Linked DNA regions of Drosophila melanogaster. The protein of the gene in region 4 interacts with the protein of the main gene of each other region in a pairwise test. Each region holds a gene or a part of one and is shown on either strand. Other genes may lie near its edges. The genes, in order: CG9967, CG14302, bip1 and CG15710.

Region 1 (5,948 bases), on a different chromosome or scaffold from region 4:
GGCAAAAACTGCGAGGAGGGTAGGTTCCACAAAAAAGTTATAATCATTACTATAGCTATACAACTTCACTGCCCTTCAATCCTTAGTAATTCGATCCCTGAGCGACGTATCCCTGACTGGCAGACGATCCTATCTGGCGGTTCGCTGGCCATATCTATACGATGGCGGGGATAAACTGGGCGCTAAGCGCTCCCAAATGGTCAGCTACCGGAACTTCACCAAGAAACTAATGCCCCCGAAGCCCATTACCACGCCCAGCAGCCACTTTGTGATGAAACTGCTGAATGAGGTGGAGAAGCAGCGCAGCTTCTCGCCAGTTCCCCTGATGGGATCGAAGTCCTTCGAGGAGCACCATCGAGTGCAGTTCTTCTTCATCGAGTTCCAACTGCGCCCGCTCTCGGAAAGAGGCCTCCTTCTGTACTTCGGTACCCTGAACAACAATCAGGACAAGAAGATAGGATTCGTGTCGCTATCGCTGCAGGGCGGAGTGGTGGAGTTCCGGATTTCCGGGCCCAGCAATCATGTCACGGTGGTGCGGAGCGTTCGCATGTTGGCCATCGGCGAGTGGCACAAGATCAAGATGGCGCAGCGCGGAAGATGGCTGACCCTGTGGGTGGAGGGTAGCGCCTCGTCGGCTTTGGCTCCTTCGGCTGAGGTGCTCGTCGAGCCCGACTCACTGCTCTACATTGGCGGGCTGAAGGATGTGTCCAAGCTGCCGCACAACGCCATCTCCGGTTTCCCGATTCCGTTCAGGGGATGTGTCCGGGGTCTGGTGGTCAGTGGAACTCGCATTGTGCTCAACGAAACCAACATTGTGGGTGCGTACTGTTGATGATGAGCAACAGCCTTTAAGGACACCATTCTTGATTAACTAAATGATTCGTCTAACCCCATTAGAATCGCGCAACATTCGAGACTGTGATGGCACCGCTTGTGGCGGAGACTCCTGCGAGTCCGGAGGACATTGCTGGCTGGACGAGAAGCTGCAGCCGCATTGCATCTGTCCGGAGTACGCGAAAGGAGATCGATGCGAGTACTCGGAGACCTGCAAGCTCATTCCGTGCAAAAACAATGGAAGATGCCTGAGAAGTGGACGCTGCTCGTGTCCAAATGGATGGGGTGGCTTCTACTGCGAGATTGGTGAGTGGCCAAAAGTTCAATAACCACAAGCACGGCTCATAATTCAGTTGGTTTTCGAAAAAAACCAAAAACATAATAGCAATACATCTTGTTAATGCGGAGAAAAACAAGTTATATAAATCTTCGCACGGCTTCAAGTTCAATTCGCAAAAAATGTGTCACGAGTAAAAGTTGGTTTTCGCAATTCCTACAGAAGCTTAAATGTTTTTATTGTATTATTATTTTCTGCGTTTTGATCTCAATTTGCGAGCGGTGTTCTGCGGAGTTTTGGGCCAAACAAGTTTCGCAGCCGCCGAGTAGAACAACATTATTATTATAATTAGAGATTGACGGCAGCAGAAAATAACCATTAACAGCAGCATTTGGATTCTGGATGGTTCAGTGCACAGCGGGGTCAGGAAGTTGGTTGGCCAAAAAAAGTAACACAAAAATTAGCGCTCTGTGATTCACAACGATGGCAATAAAGAGCACTATAATCAGAATGGGGATAGAGTTGGGGCATAATTAAGACTGGCCATGATTCAAAGTTGAATGCTCTCGTTTTTTTTCAATTTAATATGCATAATATGCAAAAATAAAGTTCAAAGTTCTAACCTATTAGCTCAAACAGAAAATACTCCTTGTAACTTTCAGCGCCAATTTCAATTATCCAATCAGTAATTTCAAACTTTTATTATCCCCTCACACTGCAACATTATTCAAAATTATAATGACACCAAGCGAAACATTAATCAACCATCTGCGAAACAAGCTTTTGATTATACGAAATCGGCAGATGCGTTTTTGCTATTTCTTTATCCATCGAATGTTTTATGTGGAGATTCATCCAGCTGTCTGCCTTTCACTTATTAGCAAATTGTGAATTAACATGCCACACAAGCAAGTTGAAGTTGAAATTGAAGAAATGCAAGTCGGTGAAGGGAAAATGGAGAGAAAATAGGAATACGAGGAAAAGCCTGAGCTATATCCATGAAAATCAAGAACTCAGGGAAAGCGAACAGGTGATAGACAAAATGATAAAAGGGGGTGAAGAAACTGTAGGGAAAAGTGTATAGAAAATTAATAACCGCGCGATAATAAAGATTAATGTGTGCTTCGAGTTCTAGAACCTGATGAAGAACGTGATGATTCATAGGCAGAAAAAACTGGAAAGTGAGTGAAGTTGAAGAAAACGCTGACAAATGGGAGAAGTGAGCACTGTGCAACTAGAAAAAGGCAACAAAAGATCAAATTGAACATTTGATAAATATCATTCTGTTGTTTTCTTAGTAATTAAATATACAACTCGTTGTGAGTTCTTTGGATTGGGCCAAAAGCGCTTTTCTTGTCAAAGAACAGGTACTTGGTAGTGCATTAGAAAACGGTTTGAGTTTGATAAACGAGATCAGGGTCTGCAGATGAAGATTCAGATTAAGATTCAGATACATAAAGTGAAACAAAAGACGGCGACGAAGAGGAACAATGCAGCTGCAGCGGCAAGCTGATGCTGTAATTTAATTATGTGCCGCATGCAATATGTTTAATGCAACGCCATTCGACTTCAACTTCCCCATTTCCCTCCCCGCGGCAGTATTATGTATGTCTTATGACTCTTTCGGATTTTTCTAGCCATGAGCAAGCCGACGACGCCGAGCTTCCGTGGCAACAGTTACCTGATCTTGCCGCCGCCGCGAATTCCGATGAAAGACAAGCGGCGGGGACCCTCCCTGTACGTCCGCCCCCGCGAAGCCATCCAAGTCTCGCTGAACTTCTCCACCATCGAACCGGACGGACTGCTCCTGTGGAGCGAGCACGAGAGGAGCAAGTTCCTCGGCCTGGGCCTGGAGGCGGGCCACCTCAAGCTGGCCAGCAACCTCCTGGGCAGCACCAACGACACGGTCCGTGCTCCGGCCAGCGGATTCATAGCCGACGGAGCCTGGCACTGGACCAGCGTCCTGCTGGACCGGTCCAGGCTGGAGCTGCAGCTGGACGGCGAGGTGATCTTCACGGAGCGATTGCCCGAGGGCGGACGGTCACTGGGCTCGACCACGCCGAGAAGCACTCTGGCGGGCAGGCGCAAGAATTCGAGCAAGGAGCCAACAATTAGCTACGAGGATGTCTTCTACTTGGGTGAGTCTATTTATTTATGACCTTTATAATATTATCAAACAGGTGTAGCTTGCAAAATCTTGCCCATTATGTGATATTATGTGATCCTAAGCCCATTACAGCGTTGTATTAATTATGACATAAACTTATAATGATGATCGACTTACCGGTTTTATAGTTTTATAGTTTACCACCGATCCGAAGACTTTTATTAGCGTATCTTGTTCACATGCACTTTAAACAAACAATTGCACAATTAAGAGACATTCAGTTCACTTTAGCTGGTTCGGTTGATTCGGTTCTTGAGAAGGGAAAACCCGGAGCACAACGATCCAGGTCTCTTTGATACCATTTGGCCAAAGCTGGTTAGCTACAACTAACTTTTCGAACTTCGATTTCAATCGCAAGTTGTTTTTGATTCGCGATCCGAATAAACACTGATTTTAACTGGGCTGCCAACTCGTTTGCTTTGGGCGGCTGTTGGTTCGATAGGTATTTAAGCCATATCAGCTGTTCATAAATTAATAGATACACTGACTATTATTACTTAATTAAATACCCTAATATATAAATTCCTTACCTTTCATTTAAATTCAAAATGAAATTTAGCATTAAAAGCTTGAGCGAATTGTTCATCTTTTATTAAACATGAATCTATGCTGTTAAGCGGCAGCTAACAGACTGCTGTTAACTGCCACTTTTACACCTTGTCCAGCACTAGCACAAATTCAAATTCAAGTTCAAATTGACAAATGCTCTATTCTTTGCATCCCAAACAGGCGGCTTTCCCAACTCGGACTCGGTGAGCAGGCGCACAAAGGGTCGCTTCTTCGATCCCTTCAAGGGCTGCCTGCAGGATATCCAGTTCGGAGCCGAGCCCACAGCGATTATCAGCGACTTCTCGACGTACCAGGGCGAGAACATTGGATCCTGTGATCTGCACGGCGATGAGCCGCTTACTGTATAGGAAACGAAATCAAAGGAAAGGACAAAGTCGGAGTAACAAGTCTATGGAACACTTTGATCGATCTGGACTTTCAGGACTCGCAAACTTCTTGGGAATCTAATTGACGATAGAGAGAACACTACTTGTAAGCTAAGTGATAAGCGAGTTTATATGGAAAGCAGGCGAATGGGGAGCCTCCTTCGCCGGAATCAATATATACACACAGTTTTTGGGCAAAGCTATCGATAGAAGATGACAGACGAATAAGACGAGAAATGAACGTAATTTTGTAAATTTTATAGAAATAAATGAAAAACGAAAAAAAGACAATGTTTAGACTTAAACCGTGGAAACAAATGACAAATTAACTGGTTTATCAAAACAATACCAAGAGCAAAACTAAGACAAAATTTTAGATTAGGAGATAAATCTAGAAAATACCGATACCAGATACAGATATTAACTTCTCTTACGTAAGTGATATTTCATGTGGAATAACGATTATGGACGAAGGATCCAAAAAGCAACTTAACTTATCACTATGTATATTGTTTTTGTTGATCCAGCCTTTTGTTATGCAATCGTTAGCATTTGTGTTATAACTCGAAATCTCTCCTTATATCTTCAACTTTCTAAACTAAGACTACAAAACTGCCCTCGCTTCTGTCATTCTAAGTTTTTCAAATTATTAAACCTAATTTAGCTAGTTGGATATTCGAATCCTTGTTATCCCTGTACGTTAAATAGCATAAACACTCCTGATTGAAGCCATTTAGTTGCCTTGTAGTAAGTTAGCGTATACTCTCTATAATTTATCTTGAACTAACTCAATTCGAAGTCGACTAATCTAACAACAAATCAAGACGCGTGCGAAAATCCATGCGGTCATACAATATAATTATTCTTATAAATGGAAAACCAAGTAGCGGAAAGATACAAACAAAAATATATATACAACAATTATACAATACGAAACCAAATGGAAATTGTAACCAAAACTGTAAGTTAAGTATGTATTTATTTCGAGAGACATCTTAATCAGTTATAATTTCAAATAAAAAAATGGGAATTAGAAAAGTTAATAAACTAAAATCTGCCTTATGTTTTCATGGGAGTCTTGGGAAGTGGTGATGCAACATATTTTCCAATGTCTTTCCGCCGCAAAGGAACTTCTCTGCTAAAAAAAAGTTAAATTACCTTTTTTATAAAGCCATGAGCTAATATTTTGAAAACCCATAATACAAAAGCGATTGTGAGCTCATTGTCGATTCAAATCGAATGACCATATATGTATATACGCAGTCATATATATATATATATAAGTATATACGATGTTTTCATTTATTATAATTTATAAATTTTAAATTTAAATACATACAGACAACATAAAAATTACGAATTGGAAAGAAATATGCATCGGATCTTTGATGTTTGTGGAACGATTTAAACAAGTTGTTTACGGTATTGTGTTGTTCGATTTGTTTTATTTATTTATTTTAATTCACTTTACTTCCTCTCCGCTTAATTGCATACTAGATGTAAGTTTAATTTTTATGGATTACGATAGTATCTCCGTTCTCGTTTACGTTTAAAGATAGTAGCATTAAATCTTCGATTGTTGCTAGAATGTGGAAAATAGTTCAACGCAAGGCGAAATTGAAAAATAAAAAAATCTAAAAGTATGCATAATTGGTTTTCTTTTTTTTTTTGTGGTTTTCGTTTTCCTTCATTTTCATATGTGTATATATAATTTATATAAATTGCAACTATCACA
Region 2 (3,758 bases), on a different chromosome or scaffold from region 4:
CGAAGAGCTAAAGATCTTGGAAGGAATAAAGCACAAAAACCTGGTGCGTTACTATGGCATCGAGGTGCACCGCGAAGAGCTGCTTATTTTCATGGAGCTGTGCTCTGAGGGCACCCTCGAGTCACTGGTGGAGCTGACTGGTAATCTGCCGGAGGCGCTTACGCGACGTTTCACCGCCCAGCTGTTGTCGGGCGTGTCTGAGCTGCACAAGCATGGCATTGTGCATCGCGACATCAAGACTGCTAACATATTCCTCGTGGACGGCAGCAACAGCCTAAAACTGGGCGATTTCGGATCAGCAGTGAAGATCCAAGCGCACACCACTGTGCCCGGTGAGCTGCAGGGCTATGTAGGCACGCAGGCCTATATGGCGCCGGAGGTTTTCACAAAGACCAACAGCGATGGCCATGGCAGGGCGGCCGATATCTGGTCGGTGGGCTGTGTGGTTGTCGAGATGGCCTCGGGCAAGGTGAGTGCTTCGCATTGTAGATAAGCAATTCGATGTATGGGGCGGGGTATACAGTCCATTTCACAATGTTGGATTATTAGTGCTTTTCTTTGGGTGAAATTTTGAAATGTTTAACATTTAATATATATTTATGGTTTCTTTACAGCGTCCTTGGGCCCAGTTTGATTCCAACTTCCAGATCATGTTCAAAGTGGGCATGGGCGAGAAGCCGCAGGCACCGGAGAGCCTATCCCAGGAGGGTCACGACTTCATCGATCATTGTCTGCAGCACGATCCCAAGAGGCGTTTAACGGCAGTGGAACTGTTGGAGCACAATTTCTGCAAGGTGCGTATGCCTGTGGTTAGCTCGCTGCCAAATGTTGCTAATTGATTTTCGTTTCCATGTGCAGTACGGTCGAGACGAGTGCAGCAGTGAGCAGTTGCAGATGCAGGTGCGAGGCTCTTTCCGGCGAAATGTGGCGACCAGCAGCAGCTAGGTGCAACGTGGTGTCTACTTAACTAGCTTGCGGTTTTTTTTAGGCGCACCCCTACATATGATGCATATGTACATCGGTGTGGATTTTGTTTAGTGTCTAATTTATGTGAATGTCGATTATTTGAATGCCCTCGTCTGGTTTTATGTTGGACAATATATAACCCGTATAAAATAATCAAATGCCTTTCCGTACCGTAACCCCCACAATTCATTCGATGCAAGTGAAAATTACACGTATTTTAATATATTTGCGATTCAGTTTTTAATTCATCAATCGATGATGACTATCCGTAAATGGGATAGATGGTCGACGTTTCTGGCGTGGCATTTGTGGTCTCAGCCTGCGGCGGACCAGAGAATCCCGTGCTAGTCGTACCATCGACGGGAGCACCAGTTGGCGGAGTTGGCTCCGGGGTGGCAAGACTGGAGAAAGCCGACACCCACGAGGTGCACAGCATGAAGGCCAGACAGAGGCTAAACAGCAGGTTGAAGACTGCAACGAATTGAGCCGGTTACTCGAATGGTCCACGGATTGCGTTGGCGGTTACTCCTTGTACGGTACTTACATTTCATGTTGACGGCGTTTTAGAGACTGTTGAAGTGCCCAGAACGGCCAGGGCCTTTTATGGAGAACCACTTGGCCATGGGTATCCATTGGTATTTTATTTAATTAATTTATTAAAACACTATTTATCTGGCATTGGCTTATCATTATTTATTTATTTATTTGTTATCGTATTTACCACTTGGATATTAAGAAGTGCGCAGCTCGGATTTTCATGACTGTTTCAAGCGGAAGACGACTTATCTATTCTTAGAAGTCACTGAAAAATACGTGGCCAATTTGACCGTGCGCCTTATCCAAATCCATATACGTATGGAGTATTTTCATTCACCAGCAGATCAATTGTAGGTCAGGAATGATGGTGGTCTTGGTTTGTAATGCATTTATTTCAATTTATTCGGTTCGTGATTATTTATGCATACATTAATTGCGGCTCTTGGCCATATGGAAACGAGTCAAACTTAACGACAGTACAGAACAGTATGGTAACGTAATGATTGATACACAGATCGAATAATACAGGTAAGATAGATAGTTAGTTGGATAGTACGTAGTGATAGTTCGGTTAACAGTTTAGAAGATAATCATACATATAGTACATATATAGCAACAATGAACACAGCAACTAGTTTGATATAAGTATCTGGTTGTCCTTTAACGTTTCTCATATATTTTCCATTGTAAATAACATACGTATAGTATTTATGTATATAATATATTCTTTGCAGATTATTGACAGCTTTGGTGGATCGCCATCGAAACATCTTTTTTTTTTGCTAACGGCTCGAACAGACAAACAAACACACATAGGTTATATATGTATCTATATCATTCTAAATCGTCCTGCGCCGTGGGGCATCATTTGCCTTCCTGGGATGTATATAAATTTATTGATATGTATTGTTACGTCTCAAGTCTATACGCGTATTCTATATATTCCTCTACATTCATTTCATTATTCATTTACGGGTTGTACATACATATATTATTATATATATATATATATATATATATTCATCCAAAAAGCCTTTAGTTACGGTATACCATTTGCTCTCTAAAACACGAATATATATGGAAATATATTAACAGACATTATATAATTCTTTTTTTGTAATAAGTCCTCAAACAAACAACGAAATTGCAGTAACAAGCGCAGATAGTACTTTTAGTATATGCTTTAGCTAGTATCTTTTGTAACAACTATAGAACGTATTGTATTTGAAACACAACTTTCGTAACGAAAAGTATTGCATACTTGTGGGCTTGCTTGCCATAATTCGCTGACAGTAGGGGTATAAACAAGTTCGTAAGCTCTGCTAAGTTAGTTAGTGATTGGTATAACACTCATATTTAATATAGCACAATTAACACACTTAGATAACAGCACTAACAATTTGCGCATAAAACGGCTCTAAAACATTTAATTGACTAGAGTTGCTCTAATTCAAACTACGAGGATACTTTGGTAACGGATATGTAAAGCGAATGGGTTGCGTATAGTTTTCTTATTTCTTTTTTTTTGTGTTTTTTTTTTTGTCTCAACTTGATAGTGATTGACATCAGTTTTCGATTCCGATTTCGTTATCGTTATCCATCTTATTCCTCAGATGCCCACCCCTCGTTGGGTGGCTCGCTTGGTGGTGCTTGGTCACAAATGAAACGCCCGTGTGTGGTCGCTAGTTACACTTACTTACTTTCGTTCGCTAACCTGCTTAGGTACATTAACTGATATGTTTTTTTTTTTTCTGGTGGACCCCAATCCTAGCGACATTCTAGTCTAGTTCGTCTAGTTTTGCAGTAGATCACGCATTATGTCCAGCGAGTCCTGCAGCGATTTGGCGTAGCGCGAGGCACTCGTATCCTCACAGGAGTAGAAGGCCGAGACGCAGAAGACGATCTGTTCCGGATGCGGATTGTAGGAGCAGCCATAACCACGTGGCGTTACCGGTCCGTATCCCATGAAGCTGTCCGTAGAGCAGGCCACCTGAATGGTATATCAATAAGATCATTATGACGATTCCAATAACATGTATGCCAAGTCCTGAAGATATCTTCATTCTAGCCGATACCTACTTTTGTGCAGCTGATTTGTGCTCAGTGGTGCTGTGGTGCAAGAATTGATTAGGTGGTGCAGAGGTGATAGAGTGCAGAGTGGTGCTTATTAGCGAAGACCTGTGGGCCAATTACTACCTGACTGGTGGAGAGCAGGAAGCACTGCGAGATGATGTAGGACTCGTCTTTGAACAGCT
Region 3 (7,832 bases), on a different chromosome or scaffold from region 4:
GCAACAAATCGAAATATATAAAAAAAGTGACACTTGCCAATCTGCACAGTGTGATGTATGACGTTGACCCGATTTCGCCTGCTTTTTATTATCATTTCCATCGCCTGCATGTTGATTTCGTGTCTTGTCTGTCCGTACACACCTTTCCATGCCGCGACGAACGGCAATTTGTCTTTGCCTCAGGGGTGCCGATTATAATAATTCATCGGGAGTGCATTCGAGTGTGGGCAGCAAGTTCAAAGTGTTAAGTGTGATTTTCAAACATTCGTAATACACGGCGTATACTTAATGTTGCCGCAGTACAATGCCAGCGAATCGGATTGGCCTTCTGACACCCGAACAACAAATGTCAGGATGGCCGAGTGGTCTAAGGCGCTGCGTTCAGGTCGCAGTCTACTCTGTAGGCGTGGGTTCGAATCCCACTTCTGACAAGAACTTTTTGCCATTTTTTCGTTTTATTTTTTGAGCTACAAAAATAAAAATTTCTAAAATCCAAAGTATTTTACAATTATTAAATCAAGAATATACTCTCTCTTGACCAAACTGGAAATTGGCACTCGTTAGTTTAACAGTCAGGATGGCCGAGTGGTCTAAGGCGCTGCGTTCAGGTCGCAGTCTACTCTGTAGGCGTGGGTTCGAATCCCACTTCTGACAATACTCTTTTATTCTATTTTCCACAATTTTTTTCTAATACCAATTAAACTATTTTTACTTGTGCTAAACACACACTTCTTTTCAGTTTTGAGAATGAACCGTTTCAGTATGTGGTCCCCAACCAAAAGAAAATTTGATCTTACGGCTCTTGAGAGTCAGGATGGCCGAGTGGTCTAAGGCGCTGCGTTCAGGTCGCAGTCTACTCTGTAGGCGTGGGTTCGAATCCCACTTCTGACAAAGATTTTTTGTCCAATTTCATTCAGCAAAACGATTAATTTTTCCAACTAAAACTTTTTTTGCCCCTCACAATGATCACCATTTGTTTGGAGCATACATTAGATTGCTTTAACGAGCCAGCTTCCCTCTCAGGGGCGCCAGAAAAATTACAAGTAAATCAATTTGTAACCGCCTAATTGTCAATATTCCAATCACATAATCGGCTGCCAGTTAACGATTGCCCCCGGCTGTCGGGCAGACCGACAGATACAGCGAGACCACACAGGCGATGATCAAGCCTGGCCCCCTTGGGAATTATCGCCGTCTGGCATCGCCTGCAAACACTTCTACTTCTACATTCATCGCCAGCTCGAGTCATTCGGCTCAATCAGACAGAAATTAAAATGCTGACTGAGCGCGTTTTCGAATGCGGCCCACTCAGTAGTTTGTGTTTTCACAATTGTTCTTGGGAAAAAACAGTGCAGGTCCATCCGTAATTATGCTGCTGTTTGTCGGTCGTAAAACGCAATCAACTGGCCACGACAATTGACAATTTGGCTAGTGTAAAACTAGCCATTAAAGTTTTATTTGCTTTAGCACTTGAGAAATTGAGGCTGGCCTGGCCATAACAGGCGAATGGGTCAATTGGCATGTGACAGCAAGAAGCTGCAAGCTGCAGGCTGCAATTTCCACAGACAATGCAAATTGACGTCTTGGAAATATGAGTGATGTGACAAGTGGATGCTTATCTGCGGCTCGACGCCCCTGTTTTTTTTCGAGGGGCTTGCCTCCTTCGTCTGATGAGCGCCCATTGAAATTTATGACTTCGTCGAACCGCCAATTGATTGGCTTTTAAATATCCAAATGAAGGCTGCCAATCGCGAATTGTGCGGCCGTAATTAATGTACAAAAATCATTTGAACGCACGCCCCAAAGCAACACCTGCAGCTGTTGGTATCTTTATTTATGGAAAGCTTTTAACACTTTTAATTAATTATGGGATGGAAAAGTTGGCGGCTTAGCTATGTTGCAAATTTATGACACTACAAATTGATAATTGATAAGCAAAAATGCTATCTAAATGCTAATTTCTCGAAAAGCATATAAAACTAGAGTTAAGTGGTATTTAAGTATTGCAATGTACAATTAATATATTATATACAATCAACTACAAGGTGCGTAATTGAAAGGTGCGCAGACATCATATTATTAAGTAGTAGTTGAAGTATTATTTTCTTCGATTTGATACATATTCATTGCGCAGTACTTTATTCTTTAAAACACTATTATTTTAAATATGACTCATTAAAATAATAAATCATAAAAGAAATACCTATTTTTTAATGTCCTTCAATGGTAGTTTTTACTGTGCGCGATTGAAATCTCAGCCTGATTCCGAATTTGTCAGAGCTTTCCGGCGAAGATCTCGCACGCATGGGCACAAAGCTCGACAAAGCTGGAGAGACGCTCTCCAAACCGAGCTTCGCGCGGTGCCTTCGCGTGACGCAGGCGGAGCTTTCGACAGTCTGCTCCCACGAGTGACGTAGCGCAGTATAGAATGCAGAACGTAACAGAATCGTAATCGGAGCCGCATAGCATACCGCTAATTAGAAGATAGATGCCCTTTTCATTTAATCGTATCTAGCTGCGATCGCTTAAACCGGCGCCAATTGTATTCAAAGTTCCGTAACCGAAAGCTTTCACCTAGAGTTCTTGCCGTGGGGTTATTAAACTCAGAACTGCCGGTCAGAGAAAAGGAGACTTTGTGTGACAGGTGAGTTCATTATGTACATATGTATCTGTTTTCCTAAGATAAGCATAGGTAAATAATGGCGATGTGGGGTACATATGTTTATATTTAATTTCAAAGTATTTTGTAAAAGGTAAGACCACGCGGCTTTGAAAGGCAAGCACAAGTTATCCAAAAAAGCTTTTCCGTGGATGTGCATCTTATTGGTGCTTTTCTACGTGCAGCAAAGCAAGCTTTTATTCGCCAGAGCGAAAGTTCTTGGGGTCACTCTAGGTTTTCTTTTATTCCAAGAAAGAAAATAAGAAAATAAATAAGATATATGTATGTACTTATTTTAATGGTTTTCTAAACTAGAGCTTATTAATAAAATGATAAAAGAAGCAATAACCTTAAATTAAAATGAGTGATTTTATCCAATTTTAAAATAATATTTGATAGATGACGAATACGATAACCACTCTTCGGATTTGCCAGGCTGTGTCGCTAAATCCTAGCGCGAATGGGCCGGAACCAGTATTGCCACCTTCCTCCAGGATTTGTCTGATGGGTTGCCAGGATGTAAAGCCCAATGATCTGCGTCGTTTTCCAGTCCACGATACCGATCGGTGAGTATTATACACATACATACATACATATGTAGGTTCCTCCTGCCAAGAACCACATTAAACCTGTTTTTAGAGCCTACGGAGAGCTTTCCGATCGATTCGATCACCGAAGCTTGTTTTTGTTGCGAATCACAAGTGCTCATTCTATATTTTAAACACCATACCATTAAAGCCATAACAATCCAAAGCTTTGGACCCCGCTCGGTGCTCCTCTTCTTCGTCTGATACCGATACCGATACTCGCAGTCAAAGGTCATTGAACTTTCGCCCTCCCTCTCTTTCTCTGTCTCTGTCTCTCTGTTTTTTTCTCGGTTCGCATAAAAGTGCATCATTTTCATAGGAATATTTCAATGCCATGGCGGCTAAGAACTTGTGCAGTGCAGCAATCAGAAATGCAATAATGCCGATGTGGGCGGGGCAGTGGGTGGGCGGGGGATAGGTCCCAGATTCCGACTCCCATTTATTTATAGCTCTCACGCTCTCCTGTAAATGCAACAAATGCGCGTGGGGCTCTGCTCTGCTGGCCGTGAAGTGAAGTTATTTTGTGTTTCTTTGCTGCTTCTTCATCTCCAGTTTCTGCAGTTGGTGCGCAAAAAAAAAAAATAGAGTTCCGTCTGCCAAAGTTACTTGGCATTGGCCATGGAGTTTAGAGTGGACCACTGTTAAGCGAATTCTTCCTCTTTCCGAGGAAACCCCAGAATGTTAAGCTTTATTTATTATCAAGGAAAGCTCATATTTTACCTTTCGTCGGTATTATCACTAAATGTACTTTGAGACCAAAAAAGTGAAAGTCACTTTTATAAGCAAAATCGAAATAAGAATGACGTTTGCTAAGTTTAATTATAATAGTTGGTTATCTAACTGTAGTCATTGAGTTCCGTTTAAAAATTTTCAAGATATAGTATGAAATTTTAAAGTGAATTATGACAATAATTTTAATTTCACACAGTTGTACGTTGGTTTTGTAAGTTAAGCATAAACCATTCTTATGAAAATGGTTTCAAGCGATTAAAATTTATTTAAAACTTGGCTAGTAAGTCAGATTAAATATGGTATGAGTAGGCAAATGATTTTGCTGTCCCTGACCTGCACAATAATTTCGCATTCGGTCCACCCTAAAGGCCTTAATTGTTGTTGTTGTTTCGCCTAGCCATAAGCATAAGGCAAAAAGAAAATAAGCCTCATTCCCCCATCTTCCACAAATCGGCAGAAACAACAAAAATAGGGGGAAGTTGAGCAGAAGCTGCAGCAAAAGCAACAGCAACAACAAACAATAACAATTCCCCGCGAAACTTCCGCTGAGCGAGAAGGAGCGTACGAAAGCGTTGCTTCTCGTTCGCACTCGCAAAAGAAGCATAAAAAGAGCTTAATTGCAGCGAAAACTTTTTCAAGAACTTTTCCAAGAGAGAGCGATAAAGAGAGCGGAGAGCGAAAGTCGGATCTAATTTGAAAGCGTCGCAAGAACCAGAACGAAACTCCAATGCAGTTTCATTTTGTCAGTTTAATCATTAAACAAAGAACTGCGCAACCGATCGCAACTAGCTCGTGGACTCTTGTTCTCCCAATAATTGGTATGTTTTCCATTTTGCGTTAACATGGAAAATGTGTGAAAAGCTTTTTCCCCCTCCAAAAGAAGCGTACTGAACTAAGCTTTCGGTGGTTAGTAATAGTAGTCGTTATATCTTATTTTTCTTATTTACGTGCAGCTGCAATCATTGGCTGCGTCACTTTGGCGTCAGCTATAAACTGGTGGATCAACTCGGCGGCCTCCAAAAGCTGCGCATCTGCTCCAGACACTTTAGCCAACGCCAGGAGATGGCCAAAACCCGCATCAAGATGACGCCGCTGCGCAAGTCCTCGTCCTCCAAGGGCATTGTGCTACCCATTAATGCCGCTGGAGGGTCGGTCATTGCAGGCGCCTTAGCAGGAGGAGGAGGTGCAGGAACTGGGAGCGGTGCTGTCAAGTCGGCGGTGGCCAGCAGCACCACCATTGAACTTGTTGAGGTGAGTGGCAGCACAAAAGAAAACAAAAGTTCAGCTTTCATAGGGGTTGGTAATTGACCCAAGCTAAATTTCAGTTCAGACAGAAATTATGTTTTAGACTCCGTAACGCAATTTTCGTTGTTTATTAACCAATTGAAATAAATCGTATAGGTATTTGAGCATTAAATGGTATTCCAAAAACGGGCATGCTATTAGAGTTAGTTTAACAACAATACAAGCATGTCTTAAAAAAATACGTACAAAGCTATTTATTCCGTAAAAGTTTAATTTTTTATAACGAATAGCGACAGATCCTGAACTTTTAAAATTTCAGAGAACCCTTCAACGTTCTTTCTCTTTAAATTTCATATTTTAAAGATATGGTTAAAACTGCTTGTATGCATATATAAATATATACCACTATAAATGTATTTTAATGAACCGCATTTTTTTGCAGAGCCCCAATAGACATCAGGCCAAGAAGCCCAACACCGGCATTATGCCCATGCCACAGCGTTCCCACTCCATTAGCTCCTCGGCCTCCAGCGATGTGCTGTCCATAAACTCCGACTACGAAGCCTCGTTACCACTATCAGCCTTAGAGGATTCCCAGAATGGACTGAACCGCTTGGAGAACGGTCAAGCCAAGAAGAGGAAACTGTACGTGATCACCGAAAAATCGGATGAGACGAAAGGTCAGACTCTGGAGACAAATGGACAGCCCAAGAAGCGTAAGATGTTCGTGGTTGTGGAGCAGGATAAAGATGTGGCGGGCAAGAAACTAATGATTATGGCCGACAAGCCGCAGACCAATCTTACCCAGCATTTGGAGAAACTACTGCCCGAGCTATTGAATCGCATACAGGACAAAGAACAGAAGCAGATCAAACCAGCTCCAGTGGTGACTAAAGCCAAGCCGGTGGTTAACAATCCCAGACCACATATAACATTGCCGCCCAAAAAGAATCCAACTAATTTTGCAAAGATCACGTCCACACCAAGCTCAGTGCCTTCATCCATTCAGATGCCACTGCCAATTCAGAATACCAAGATCCTAAAGTCCGAGAATTCGGAACTGACAATGAATTCGGATGAGATCGAGACGAACATAAATCTATCGCCCGACTTCCGCTTCCTAATGAAAATCCTACCCAAATTGGAACAGCTGCCCGAGCCCCACAAGCAGAACGTGAAGCGTTCCATCCAGATCTTCGTGGAGAAGAGCTACAGTATTTACGGCAACAAGGATTAGTTATCAGTATTTTCGGGCACAGCGTTTATTTTCCATTTCATGTGAAGCAGTTCCCTTTATTTTCGTACATACACATACATACATCAAAGGCATTTCATAACTTTGTGTAAGACTGAAGCAGAACCAATTTAATTTCTAAGCCAATTGTAAGAGCTGAAGCAGCTCCCCATTTAGACATGTAAGCTTATCAGAAATTTGATATTACCCACCTGGAGATGGGTAGATTTTGTAAAAGTTGAGCCATAAAAACGAATTAAGATTGAATTTCTTTCTATATTGAATATATGAAAGCTTGATTTAAGCCAGAAAGATAAACCGTCTAAGAGTCTTATTTTTGGGATAAGAAGGTATATAACGAGGGGATATTACCACGACCCACAATTAATAACACTAGTGTTTTTTTCTTATCTTTTTGGTTTTTTTTTTTTGCATTGTAATTCCAAAGAACTTTATTTAGTTTGAAAGCATTTGTTTACGGTTTCTCTTCTTCCATATTTCTTTCTTTTTTTTTTTTAGTTACGTTATAATAATATTTAGTAAGTCTAATGCGGTTTTATTTAGTGTGGTTTAGTTTAGTTAATACAATGGTTAGTGTGTCTTTACGATTTCCATGTAAATTATGCAGCTTCACTTCGTCCTGGAGAAAGGATTGCATTTGGTAATTTACAATTCTTGCCGGCCCATTTACCACTACACGTGTATGTTTTGGGTCTCAGTTTCGTTTTAAGTTAGTATATCCGATTAATGTGGTTAATACATTACATATATACAGTTAAACACTTCATGTTTAATTTAGCTTGCGGGTCAAGGAAACCAAATTATGTGTAAAGTATTAGGGAACTTTGTTGCGTGCCTTTACTGGATGAGGATTTCTACATGATTGGAGTGACTCCATTTCGAGTGCTACATTATAATCGAGTAATATATACTTTTTACAACATTTAGCAAATTTTCCCGTACACATACAATAACTCGTATATCATATTTTTGCGTTAAGCATTTGCCATCGATTTTTTTTTAGAGGGTATAGGGTGTGTTTTATATGGTTTTAAATCGTGTTTGTTAACTACGTTTTGGAGTGTCCTACATTATAGCGTTTGCCTTTTTGTCGGTTAGCGTATCGAGTGTTTTTACATGCTACTTATAAGAAAAAATATTTGCCTTAATGTTGTCCTACGAAACAGTTATGTCATCATCATCATCAATGAGAAGCAATCACAAAGTTTTCTCTAAATTTATATACGACGATTATTACTATTATTTATCATTTTCTTTAGTATTTACATAATTTTTTGGAGTGCACAAAGCAGCCAGCTTCTGTCTGGTTAGTGTAAGCAACTAGAACTACATTCACTGTGGAGTCGAAGATGCT
Region 4 (4,491 bases):
CATTGCGCCCGGCAGCTTTAGCTTCGATTCCTTGGCTTCCAGCAAGTCGTAGGAGTAGTAGAATGGTTTCACAGAACCAAAGAACGCCCTTGTGCCGCATGGAGCAATTCTGGAGCACGCCAGCGGGAACTTCTTGAAGCGCATGTTGTGCAACCTTTCGTTCTTTTGCCCATCCACGGCGTAGATGGTGGCTAGGCCATTCATGCCCGCCACTAGAGCAGCAGTACTGGTTGGATGAAACTGAATGCTGGTGGCATTACCCTCGGCATATGTGGCCCTGTTCAGGTCTTTGACCCGTTTAAAATTCAGAGTCTTCTGGGGCAGATCACTGTTCCGGGCTTTACGATCGATAAAGCCAACCGTCCGCAGCAGTTCTTCGTCGGAGGATACGTCCTCGTCGTCCTCATTTTTGACCTTCTTTTCCGCCCACTTGGGTTGGTTAAGCGTGCGCTGGAATCGCGCCGTAAGATACTCCTTGTACGATTTATCCTTGCGCAGGTGGTTCAGTGGACCCGTGTGCTTTGTGGCCTTCTTGACATCGCCCACCTGCAGGTCCTCGTCATCGGAATCCGACCAGGCGGCTTTCCGCTTGTCGCCTGGCTTTGCCTGGCCGGGATTTTCCTCCTGCTCGTCTTCGTCATCGTTCGGCAACTTTTGTCCCACGGACTTGGCTAGATTGGTGAGCAGTCGCTGCCTGTCGCCGAAGAGCACCTTTTCCATGGGCACCTCCACATAGTTGAGCTCCTTGGCCTGCGAGGCCTTTGGAATATAACGTTCCCTTTTGATCTTTGCCGGTTTCTCTTGCTCCTGCTGGCCGTAGAGGGCCTTCAGACTCTGCAGCTCCTCCAAACCGTCGCTGGACTCGTCTGAACTCATCGTGTTCGCTGGAAATGCACGCAAATTCGTTTATTTACGAACTTTTCTTTGGACCGCAAAAAAATATACACGTGCAGCTGGGCGGGAAATCGACTAACGCTTTAAATCAAAAATACCACGCCACGGTGGATTTATCGATAAGTGTGACCACATCGATAGCAGATCGAAATAGATATCGGTGGGATGGGCGCCATAATTTGAAAATTATAAAAAATATTACAATTAAAAAATATATTTATTTAATTTAAAATTAAAATGTGCGAATTTGTATAATCAATTATTAAAACTTTGCACAACTTCTGTAAATGTTACCTCGCTGACCTCGGTGATTTCAATCTCACGCTTTCTTTTGCATTTATCCGGCATCTGGCAAGTTTTCAGATGACGGTGAAGGAAACCCTCATATTTGTACTTTTTCCCACAACGATCACAGATTAATTCGGGCCTTCTCTTCCCTAAGATCTTTTTCTCCTCCTCCTGGGCCTTCAGCCTTACGATACATGCGTCGCACGCGTATCGACGGGTCACTTGGCCAGGCTTAAAGCAGGCCTTGAACTCCGTGCGACAAAAGACGCAATTGAAGGTCTTGGTGATGGTGTACGCCCCTTCGTAGGATTCATCCGTGGACTCGCACGGTATCAGATGGCTCTCCAAATGGGTGCGATACTCCAGATCCGTCCCGAACTTGACATGGCAGGATGCACAGGTGCGATTCATTGATGGGCTTCCATGCAGGAGCCTGTGGCCGATCAGGGCATCCACCGAGGAGAAGATTTTCTTGCAAATGTTGCACTGATGCTGGGACACGTCCGGCACATCCTTCATCATGCGTGCCAAGCGTCTTTGGCAGGCCATCAGATGGACCTTGTAGGCACCGGCCGTGCGAATCACATTAGAGCAAAGCGGACAGTGGAAGCGTTGCGTGTTGTCCTCCAGGAAAACTTTCTCCTCTTTTATCGGCTGCAAACAGGGCGCCACGTACACCTTGGTAACAATACCATTATCCTCCTGAATCGACAGTAGAGTAGCTGGTTCCAGCTCCTCGGAAATCCAGTTGCCAGCACTTGTCATAATCCTTTGTGGGCTCTTGTGTTTCGCCAGTAAGAAGCGTACGAAGAAAGTGAGAAAGTCGCCGGTCATTGTCATTGAAAGATAGAAAGTAATACTCGATACTCGATACTCGGAAACTGTCAGGGCTGGAAAAGAAAGAAAGCGTATACGCGATAGGTATGCCTCAAAAATGTAAACTTTTTAAATTTGTCCAGGCAATGAAATTCGAATCCAACGCTTTCCTCCAAAAAAAAATTAAACGTTTTATTCGGATTACCATAAATGAGGTGGTAATATATTTAGCCATCATTTAGTTTAACCAATTAAGCAAACAATCTTCATGCATTTTTACTGTCTAAAGCAGAAGTATACATACTATATATATTCGGTTTAATTTCGTTTTTAAATGAAGTAGGTCAGCTTCACAGTTTCGAACGCAGCAAATAAATTATGTTTTATGAACCATATTAAAGGCTTCTCCATGATTTCGTCTGTGTTAGGAATTATTTTTAAAATATCATCTTAGAGACTTAAATATAAATTTAATTTAAATTAATTTCTAAGGAAGATAGCTATAGTTCAATGGCAAGCCTGGGCAGAATAAGATCTATACTCGTAAAACTGATTGTTTAGTTTGGTCTTTGAACTGTAAAATGCAGGAACATGTCTTTCGAGTGCCTCTAATCCCCGCCCAACTTCTGGCATTGTGGTAAGCTCCGGATCCCTGCTTTATGACACGCGTAATGCGAGTCAAAATATGCAATTAAACAAAAACTTCTTGACTGGAAAAATATTTGCATAACTTGGGCAAACAAATGTCGGAGCACGTCGTCCTCGTCACCAGTCGACAATGTCGAGTTGTTGTTGAACTTGTCATTACACACGCACAACCAGGAGAGCACCAGTCTCATCCACCCACTAACCACCCAACCACCCACTAATTTACCCATCCACTGGGGGTGGTGCTCTCGCCAAAGTGTGGATTAATAGCTGGGGTGGTGCTGCTGCTGCCAGAAATCAGCGCTCGTAAAATTTACGTAAAATTCATTAAGCGCAACAAAAGACGCTGACTGCGTGGAGCAAAAGGGGGCAGGGGCAGGTTGGAAGGGAAAGGGGGGGTGGCGCCTGCAATCGCTTAGAGACAAAGCCCTGCATAGTTGATAAGACGCGTCCTTCGCGGGGGGAGGACGTTGCTTGTAGGAGCAGTGGGTGTTTAGTTGGGTGCCTGGGTGGGTGACGGCTTGGCATTTGTGGTGCCCTCGAGTGTCTCCTGCCAAGTCAGGCGTCAAGCCGCACGGAGAGCAACCAATTTTTGTCATTTCAAAGGGTCCAGCATTATTGTTGCGCCATCCAGGCGGCGATACACTAGCAAATAATTTTCTATAAATATTAAACATACTTATCATTAATTTTAAGCAGCGCGAAGTTGGGTTGTTGGTATTTCCTCAAAAGATTGTGAATTATTTAAAAAGCATACACTATTCTTGAATGTATTATATGCTTTTTAAACCATTTAGGCTATTCTTTTTAGTTATTTTGAAGTAAGCTATCTGAAATATGAATATTTTTCATTTCAGAATCTGTTGATTTCAGATTAACAGAATATGGGATTCTTTTATATCTTTCTACTAATCCTTTACGCAGAAGCTTTTTTAATCGTTTGCCTTAAGTAATAATAGCTAATCAAGTTCCAAGGATTGAAGTTTGTCTAAGAATCGCTGCATTTTCTGGGAGTGTTCCCCGCCCATTTTCCGCCCACTTCCAATATCCTTGAGTTCCTGTGCAGCGAGGCGCTGCGATTCAGCGCTCCTTAAGTGGCCTGACATTGTGGCAGATCCTTTGCAGTCGCACTCCCAACTCCCCGCCATGCCAGTATCCCCCATTCCGCGCCCTGCATCTCGCATCCTGCGCTGCAACTCCTGCCGACTGACAGATTAGCGTGTTGACATTAAGTTTGTCCTTTGGCAGTGTAGGCTAACATATGGCCTTTAGTTGGCTTTAAGTATCGGGCGCATTTAGCTCCAGCTCCAGCTGCACATGCAAATGCTGATAGAGCCACGCATTACAGCATGTTGCGGTCGCTCCTTGTGGGCGTGGCGCCTGGCCACCTGCCCCTGTGCTCCATCGCTCCACCTATGTGCTATCTTTCGAATCACGGATGATGGCTCCTGTGGCATGTAATGAGTTTTCCATTGCCCCGCACACGGTGCATCAGGTTACCCGTACCTACATCACCGCTGATTTGTGCGGTTGATAATTGGGCGCGCGGTAATGTTGGTAATTAACGTCTTTCTGTCCACCGATATCGGCATATTGACGGCCATTGTCAAGGGCGCGTTTTATTTGCAGGACAAAATCCTGTCCAACGCAACGTTCGTCGTTCAAACGGAATTAAGCCAAAGGGAAAATCTGGCGACAAAAAGCGTAAAACTTTGTTGGCGATACATTAGCGAACAATGCATATTGACATTGTATTGACAGTGCGCGACATGGCAATAGCACTTAAACACCATGCCATTTCGAATCGCTTTAATTGGTTAAATAAATGTATGACTGTCGTGTGCT

What was found.
Region 1: the proteins of CG15710 (region 4) and CG9967 interact in a two-hybrid assay, tested with the Drosophila melanogaster proteins (one large-scale study listed by BioGRID).
Region 2: the proteins of CG15710 (region 4) and CG14302 interact in a two-hybrid assay, tested with the Drosophila melanogaster proteins (one large-scale study listed by BioGRID).
Region 3: the proteins of CG15710 (region 4) and bip1 interact in a two-hybrid assay, tested with the Drosophila melanogaster proteins (one large-scale study listed by BioGRID).

Annotation. Positions count from the first base shown.
Region 1 is NT_033779.5:2,353,683-2,359,630, forward strand, and holds the start of CG9967 (uncharacterized protein), read right to left. Parts: upstream 3,675-5,948; 5' UTR 3,396-3,674; intron 3,250-3,395; coding exon of another isoform or gene 2,749-3,249; intron 1,141-2,748; coding exon of another isoform or gene 898-1,140; intron 819-897; coding exon of another isoform or gene 87-818; intron 20-86; coding exon of another isoform or gene 1-19. Other genes in the region: eys (eyes shut), read left to right, coding at 1-19, 87-818, 898-1,140, 2,749-3,249, 4,008-4,195.
Region 2 is NT_033777.3:18,730,465-18,734,222, reverse strand, and holds CG14302 (uncharacterized protein), read right to left. Parts: upstream 1,543-3,758; 5' UTR 1,518-1,542; coding exon 1,511-1,517; intron 1,438-1,510; coding exon 1,229-1,437; 3' UTR 1,189-1,228; downstream 1-1,188. Other genes in the region: Mekk1, read left to right, coding at 1-469, 615-794, 859-945.
Region 3 is NT_037436.4:8,053,273-8,061,104, reverse strand, and holds bip1 (bip1), read left to right. Parts: upstream 1-2,391; 5' UTR 2,392-2,644; intron 2,645-3,011; exon of another isoform or gene 3,012-3,058; coding exon 3,059-3,225; exon of another isoform or gene 3,226-3,604; intron 3,605-4,729; exon of another isoform or gene 4,730-4,796; intron 4,797-4,896; exon of another isoform or gene 4,897-4,931; coding exon 4,932-5,229; exon of another isoform or gene 5,230-5,304; intron 5,305-5,665; coding exon 5,666-6,460; 3' UTR 6,461-6,772; downstream 6,773-7,832.
Region 4 is NT_033778.4:16,346,520-16,351,010, forward strand, and holds CG15710 (uncharacterized protein), read right to left. Parts: upstream 2,009-4,491; 5' UTR 1,948-2,008; coding exon 1,150-1,947; 3' UTR 1,095-1,149; downstream 1-1,094. Other genes in the region: wcd (wicked), read right to left, coding at 1-876.